2 linked regions of the Schizosaccharomyces pombe genome follow. The protein of the gene in region 2 purifies or fractionates together with the protein of the main gene of each other region. This does not show direct contact. Each region holds a gene or a part of one and is shown on either strand. Other genes may lie near its edges. The genes, in order: fal1 and mnh1.

The links.
Region 1: the proteins of mnh1 (region 2) and fal1 purify together in Schizosaccharomyces pombe (affinity purification with western blotting, with the first as the bait; one study listed by BioGRID). This does not show direct contact.

The regions. Positions count from the first base shown.
Region 1 is NC_003424.3:270,119-274,023, forward strand, and holds fal1 (ATP-dependent RNA helicase), read right to left. Parts: upstream 2,225-3,905; 5' UTR 2,206-2,224; coding exon 2,139-2,205; exon of another isoform or gene 2,073-2,138; coding exon 2,052-2,072; exon of another isoform or gene 1,999-2,051; coding exon 902-1,998; 3' UTR 775-901; downstream 1-774. Other genes in the region: phosphatidylinositol kinase-like protein Tra2, read left to right, coding at 1-629; PAK-like kinase Shk2, read left to right, coding at 3,034-3,905. UniProt on the Schizosaccharomyces pombe protein: ATP-dependent RNA helicase involved in 40S ribosomal subunit biogenesis. Required for the processing and cleavage of 35S pre-rRNA at sites A0, A1, and A2, leading to mature 18S rRNA.
Region 2 is NC_003423.3:4,000,716-4,004,436, forward strand, and holds mnh1 (protein mago nashi), read right to left. Parts: upstream 1,981-3,721; 5' UTR 1,939-1,980; coding exon 1,913-1,938; intron 1,867-1,912; coding exon 1,829-1,866; intron 1,777-1,828; coding exon 1,750-1,776; intron 1,678-1,749; coding exon 1,624-1,677; intron 1,573-1,623; coding exon 1,509-1,572; intron 1,467-1,508; coding exon 1,379-1,466; intron 1,310-1,378; coding exon 1,163-1,309; 3' UTR 814-1,162; downstream 1-813. Other genes in the region: DNA-directed RNA polymerase I complex subunit Rpa43, read right to left, coding at 1-141, 248-515; ESCRT II complex subunit Vps36, read left to right, coding at 2,597-3,721.

The sequences.
Region 1 (3,905 bases), on a different chromosome or scaffold from region 2:
CATCAGTTTTCCCTGAAAGCATATACTATGACTACTTTTATAAAACCTTTGAAAGGTACTGTGACTTTTGGTTTTTCCGCAGGACATTTACAACGCAATATGCTTACATGATTATTATGACTTATGTATTCAATATTGGAGGTCGATCCCCTCAAAAGCTGTTCATAGTGAAGGATTCTGGCCAGGTGATGTCGCAAGACCTTTTACCTTCTATGACTTCCAACCAACCTGTATTTCACAATACTGAGGCTGTTCCGTTTAGATTAACGCCTCCAATACAATACCTCATTTCTGATTTGGGAGTTGAAGGATTACTTTCGGGATTAGTAATGAGCATTGCGCAAAGTCTATCAAGTCCTACTACTGATATAAAGCAGTATCTAAGTCTTTATGTTCGTGATGAAGTTTTCTGGTGGTCCAAGCAGCAAAGAAAGCCAATTCCTCAGGGAATCCAGCTGTTCGAAACCGTGAAAGTAAATGTTGAATTATTATTTCGTCGAATATCGGTCATATCTCATAATGTACCAGAGGACCTTCCACTGAATCAGACTTTGGTGGATTTAGTATCTCAAGCAACTAATCCTCAGCAGCTGGCGCAAATGGATCAACTTTGGCAAGCTTGGCTTTAACAAATTGCAAATCAGTTTTGAGGTTTCATCTAATATTGAATTGCTACGAATGCTCAGATTATTTATTATTAGGAGAAAATGCTAATACTTTTCTTTTGCAGGATCTTACAACCAAAAAATTATGATCTAAATGACACCAAAAAAATACGCATAGAAAGTTTTGGGTAACATAAATGGAAATTAATTTAAATATACAGTTATTATTTTAAAGTTTTCCCCCAAATCTGTACAATAATCCAAAAAAAACCAGCTTTTTTTTTCCAATGGAAAATTTAAACCATATCTCCTATATTCATAGGCATTTCATCTATAACAGTAGAATAGTATTGTTCAATATCCCGAAGAATGCGTACATCTTCATTTGTAACAAAATTAATAGCTACACCTTTACGACCAAATCGTCCACTGCGACCAATGCGATGTATATAGTTTTCTCGATTTGCAGGAAGATCGTAATTGATCACTAATGAAACTTGCTGAACATCAATTCCTCTTGCCCATATGTCTGTGCATATGAGAACCCTACTATTTCCTTGTCGAAAATCTTGCATGATAGCGTCTCTTTCTTTTTGCGGCATCTCACCGTGCATACTGGTAACGGTAAAGTTAGCTTCTCGCATTTTCTCCGTCAACCAATCAACCTTCCTACGAGAATTGCAAAATATCACAGCTTGTGTAATGGTTAAAGTATCATATAAATCACACAGAGTATCAAACTTCCATTCCTCTTTTTCAACTGCTATAAAGTACTGTTTTAAGCCTTCAAGAGTAAGTTCATCGCGCTTGACCAATATTCGAACAGGGTTAGTGGTAAACTTGTTAGTCATTTCTAACACGTCTTGAGGCAAGGTAGCACTCACAACTACCACCTGTGTACCAGGGGGTAAATATCTATAAATGTCATAAATTTGTTCCTTAAAGCCTTGATTTAAGAGCTCATCCGCTTCATCAAGAATAAGCATCTTAACATTGCGAGTTCGCAAATTTCGTCTACGAATCATGTCCGTTACGCGCCCAGGAGTGCCAGAAACAACGTGTTGTCCATAATCCAATTTTTTGATGTCATTTCCAACGGATGTGCCGCCTATACAAGCATGACATTGAACGTTCATATGGTCACCCAATGCAAGTACAACATTCTGGATTTGAACTGCCAATTCTCTCGTAGGAGAAAGTATTAAAGCTTGAGTATCTCGGACTGATAAATCGATCGACTGAAGAATACCAATAGAAAAAGTTGCTGTTTTCCCTGTACCAGATTGAGCTTGTGCGATAACGTCTCTCCCTTTACAGATTTGAATAATCGCCCGGCTTTGCACAGCACTCGGAGTCTCATAGCCATACGCATAGATTCCACGAAGTAAATCCTCTGCATGTTGTTAGAACAAAATTATGGAAATTTTTATCAATTCATTAACTAACCTTTAAGATTCATTTCCTCAACTGCAAAACAATGTTAGCATCATTCACAGTAAGTATTCATATTATAAAAAAATATAATTTACTTACAAGAGGATACAGCATTCACATCTTCCGATGTCGTAAGCTCCACGTTCTCCATTATTTCGTCCGCCATAATGGAAGTTGTAGTAGTTATGTTATGTCAGCCCAACTTGAGGAAAATGAAGGAGAGAAAATTTGACAAGCAAATAGAAAGCTTGGTTAGTTACAAAAATAAAAGAATATTCCTTTAAAAAATTTCAATTGTACGGAAAGCTTTATTAAATATTGACAAGAAGTTTAGATGAACTTATTATTCACATGTTGTTTATTTTCAGTACTCCCAACTTGTTAGATAATGGTATAAAAAGTAAACTAGCGGTTTCTTAGAATTAGACATTACACGAAAAAATTATGAGAGTCTTACATTAATTTTCTACAACTGGAGCAATGGTTGAACACCACCCTTAAGAGTCTAAACAACATTTCAATTCGTCCTAGAATTGTTATACTAATTTCCGTTTTAGCAATCTAAGTTCTCCTAGCACTAACATGCAAATTATCGGCTAGTCAAAACCCATTATCAATTAATGTTTCCTAACCAGAATTGCCCACCACTTCGCATAAATTCAGTTATACATTTCCATGCTAAAAATTACCTAAAATCACTCTCAGATATTATAAATGCTATACACAGTTTACATTTGTGAGCGTTGTCATGAATCTTGTAACCAATGTCATGTTCGCTTGCGATAAGATTGCAAATTGCAATTGTAAGACTTAATCTAATTAATTAAGAATTACTTTTCATCCACTACTGTTGACGTCAATTGACTTCTCTTTTCATAACATTTCTTTGTTTTTTGCATTCTCTTTGTTTATAAATGGGGTTTCTTTGTTTATACATTTGAGCTAAAATGTATAAAAGAAGCATGTATACCAAAACTATTGCATCGTTTTCAAAATGCTTTTAAGTGTAAGAGGCGTGCCGGTTGAAATTCCATCTCTCAAAGATACAAAGAAAAGCAAGGGAATCATTCGATCAGGATGGGTTATGCTGAAGGAAGATAAAATGAAGTATCTCCCTTGGACTAAAAAGTGGCTAGTACTTTCTAGCAATTCTCTGTCGATATATAAAGGAAGCAAGTCTGAAAGTGCTCAGGTTACGTTGCTGTTGAAGGATATTCAAAAAGTAGAGCGTTCAAAGTCTAGGACATTCTGCTTTAAATTGAGGTTCAAAAGTAGTACCAAAAATTTTGAGATTCAAGCTTGTGAATTGTCCGTGGCCGATAATATGGAATGTTATGAGTGGATGGATTTAATATCTTCTCGTGCGCTTGCTAGCAAAGTTTCAAGTCCGATGAATCCTAAACACCAAGTGCATGTGGGAATTGATAATGAAGGAAATTATGTCGGATTACCCAAGGAGTGGATATTGCTACTTCAGAGTAGTTCGATTACCAAACAAGAATGCATGGAGGAGCCGAAAGCAGTTATTCAAGCTTTGGATTTTTATAGTAAGCAGTTGGATACAACAAGCGAAACTAAAGATAGTTTTTCATTTTGCAAAGAGACACTGCCACGATCCTCTACTACATCGTATTCTATTCGCGATGCTGACAAACATCATAAACTCACGACATCTGGAGTTACTAAAATGAATATTACTGAAAGATGCAAGCCGAAGACAACCATACAGACGGATAAAAAGCATATCATAAGGCCTTTTATTGAAGACAAAAGTCATGTAGAATCTATCATGACCGGAAAAGTAACCAAAGTACCGGTCAAAGCAGATTCAAAGAACACGTTGAGTAGAAGAATGACTGATAGACA
Region 2 (3,721 bases):
TCCAACGACCTTGTTCTTCCGTAGTATCGGGCTCAATAAAAATCCAATCTTTAGGTATAGATTTTCGCGGAATAGATGCATTAAAAATACCCAAAATTAATAGACCAATATGACTTGGACTGACTAAATTAATTTTTCCTTCTAGTGATAGTTAGCATTTATTTTGGAGTTGGTATAAAATTTTGCACGACTGAATTATCATGATACAAATCCATCATAGAATCTCGAATTTCTAAGCATTTCATACCTAAACAATCGCCTTTTTTGGGAGAAAATACTAAAACGTCTACACGGACCCATATAAAGGAGAATGGGGAGTCATACATGACCTTTGCACTTTTTTCCAGGAATCGAATATTGTCGTACGCCAACACTATTCCATTGATTCTTGGGAGTTTGCTAAGAATCATACTATCCATATGCTCCTGAATAGCATTTAAAGGATCCCTGCTGTGTCCAGGAGCAATGGAAAGGTATAAATCTACAGTCTGTTTGTAGAGTGATAAATCCGGCATGTTGGCGGAACGCAAATTTCCTTCATCGACTGCATCCAGTTTTACAGATATGTTCAAGGGTAAACAAAGCTCTTCAATTGATCAACCAAGGTCATATATAACATATCATGTCTTCGAGAAAGGTTAACAGCTAAATAGGCGATACTATGGCATCAATAGAAATGCCAATTCTGTAAATGACACCATGTCACTACAGTGCTCAAGACATTGAAATTTTTTTTTTAATTACAATAAGAAATACTTTACCTTTTTTTTCTCTTATTTAAATGAAGAATATTATTGAGACAAAATAAGTGAATCGCTCATTACTATACAAATAGTGTCTATTTAATATAGCTAAAATTATTTCAAGATTTTTTTGATATCTTATTGAAAAAAAGATTTTGTAACGCGACTACCATGGAATGGTTGCCATATTCTAAGATGTTCCCAAATAAATAGTCAATTCTTAACCGCTTATGATATGGAATTAAAAGTGCAATACGGTTAATTTAGCATAAAAACTGAAATTCCTTCCTAAAGCTCGAACGTTTTTCAGCTTTGAGACTGTACATTTAGAAACGAAACAAAGGTAATCAAACCCAAATAGTAAACCAATGTTTCACATAAAACTTTTTCGCCCTAATATATAAGAAAATGGAATGCATCTAGTTTTTAACAGGTCGGAGCTTAAAATTTAGGGAGATGAGACTAAAGCACAATGCTTTTAAATCTTGAATTAGGTAGTAGAAAACTTTTAGCCCTTCTGGATCATCACTATTTTGAACGTCTGCCAAACTTCCAAGTTTACAGGTCTAGTAGTTTATATTAGCTTAAAAGTATCTAGAATGAATATATTTATGCCAAATGAAGAGCAATCTTACTTCAAACATGATGTGTTTTCCATTCATACGAATTTCAAGTTCCTGCTTACCATCTTTATTTTCAGGTGGCCAACTTTCATCTGATTCTCTAAATAGTAGTTAGTATAAAAAATTGAAAGAAATGACTTGCTTTATGATCTCACTGTCATCTACAATACGTTGAACTTCTTTTAAAACAAGCTCACTGACGAACACTTTAAGGCTTTGTTAATACGATCGAACAGAAATGTAGTACTAAAACATACTCTCCTTTCGGATTAACGAATCGTTCCGATAGTTAGAATTGTTTGCGTATCTAGCTAATTGAATTAGTATTCATGTCAAACCACTGTTGCTAATATGAATCAGAAAATTGTTGACTCTATTCATACCTAGCCCATCACTATGATAATCGAATTCTAGCAAATGTTTGGTTAGCTGCGCGACCTTGCGTCTAATATTATCGCGTACCCAAGAACTCGTGTCCGAATCGACCATGGTGTCCCGAGCTTCAGTCAGTTAGCATTCAAAACTATTTACAGCTTTTTTGCATACTAGTATCGAACATAAAAATCACTCATTTTCGAGCAAATAGGAATATGATGGCTTCGATGACTACTGCTGAGAGGTAAACTCTTGGTCAAAGATACGAAGCATATAGTGATTCACTATTTTAAATAACACAATACACTAGTGCATCCAATTTTTGGAGCTCGACAATCAAAGTTCGTGGGTAATTCAATATACAGTGTATCTTTGATGAATTCGTTGACATTATATATTGACTGCTAAGTCTATATCTGTAAATCAAAGTCTTTTAATTCCTTAAAGGCTTTTTCCAAATTCAGGTTAAATCTTGACAAGTTATTTTTCTGGGACCTTTTAACGTTCCACGACTTATTTCACTGCATTTACAAAAGTTATTCTGGCACTGTTGCATCTTTTATCGCTAGTTTGTGATCCTTGGGTTGTTTTTTATTAAGACTACGGTTTGATTTTTTTATTGTAACATATTAAATCGAGCTTTTGACAGGCTTCATTTATGTTATTTATATATCGACATTCACAGCTGTCATCCAAAAATATTTTTTTTAAAGGTAGCTAAATAAAGCGAAAGTCGTACTCACAGATTATCTCAAATCAATTGTTGGTCTCGACTAGTTAACCAAGGCACATGACATGTTATATAAGTTTTAATTCACTTGACAATTATCATTTTGGTTAATCTCTCCTTCTAATATGGCCTTTTATTTAGAAACAACCCCTTCTAATCTACCGGTTTTGGATCCTTCAGAAGAAATTTTGCTAGTTCAAGACCAGGTAGGTTTATACTTCGGAGATGAGAAAAGTTTTCGTCATAATAATGGAACATTATATTTGACAAAAAAACACATCTTCTACGTAGATTCAGTAGATCCTAAAAAGAATTCATTAAAAATTAAAATCTCCGATATAAGAGATGTACAGCATACCTCTAGGTATTTTCGCTCCTCCCCAAAAATTCGCCTTTCTCTGCGACATGTGGAAAAGTCATGGGCTTGCAAAATTTGTACATTTATCAATGTGGGTGATCCCATTAATCCTTGTAGAAACTGTGGAGTTGCTAACCGATTTACTATTATAAAGCCGAAATCAGATGCGCGTTTTTCTCAAGGATTATGCACCGCGTGTACTTTTCAAAATTATCCGGATCTGAATACTTGTGAAATTTGCGGCAATCAATTAAAAAATGTCGATAGAAACCAGCTTATACAACTCTCGTTTAGAGGCTCGGGTTCATCCAAGTTTTACGAAGCTATCAAATCTGAAACAGATGAAATAGAAAAACAAAGATACTCGAATAAATATGATACTAAAGTTCTGAGGAAGGCCATCCTTGAAAAGTCTTTGCGAATGGGTGGTATTCATGATCTTGAGCAATCTCATGAGATGCAATTAGCCAAAAATGGACGTACCTTAGTACATGCGTTTCAAGATTTAGATGCTTTTTTTTCTTTAGCGAAAGATACTATGTCTCTGGCTGACCAATTTGCTGAAAAGATGGATGGGCTGACCGGCACTCAACAGTCTGACAAGGTACAGCAGCTTTTAAACAAATCGAATCAGTTAGGAGTGTTACGAGGAAATCATTTAGATAATGTTCCTGTTTCGGCTAATTCTCGATTGTATGATATTGAACTATGTAAAAGTATCTCAGAAGTTTTACGCACAAGGTTAAAAGCTGATACCGATACGGTTACCATGACCCAGGCTTGGGCCATCTATAATCGGTCAAGAAAAGCAAACCTGATTCCTCCGACCAGATTTGTGAAGGCTTGTGAACTAATAGATTCCATGGAGGTTGGTATAACAACGTCCAAAATG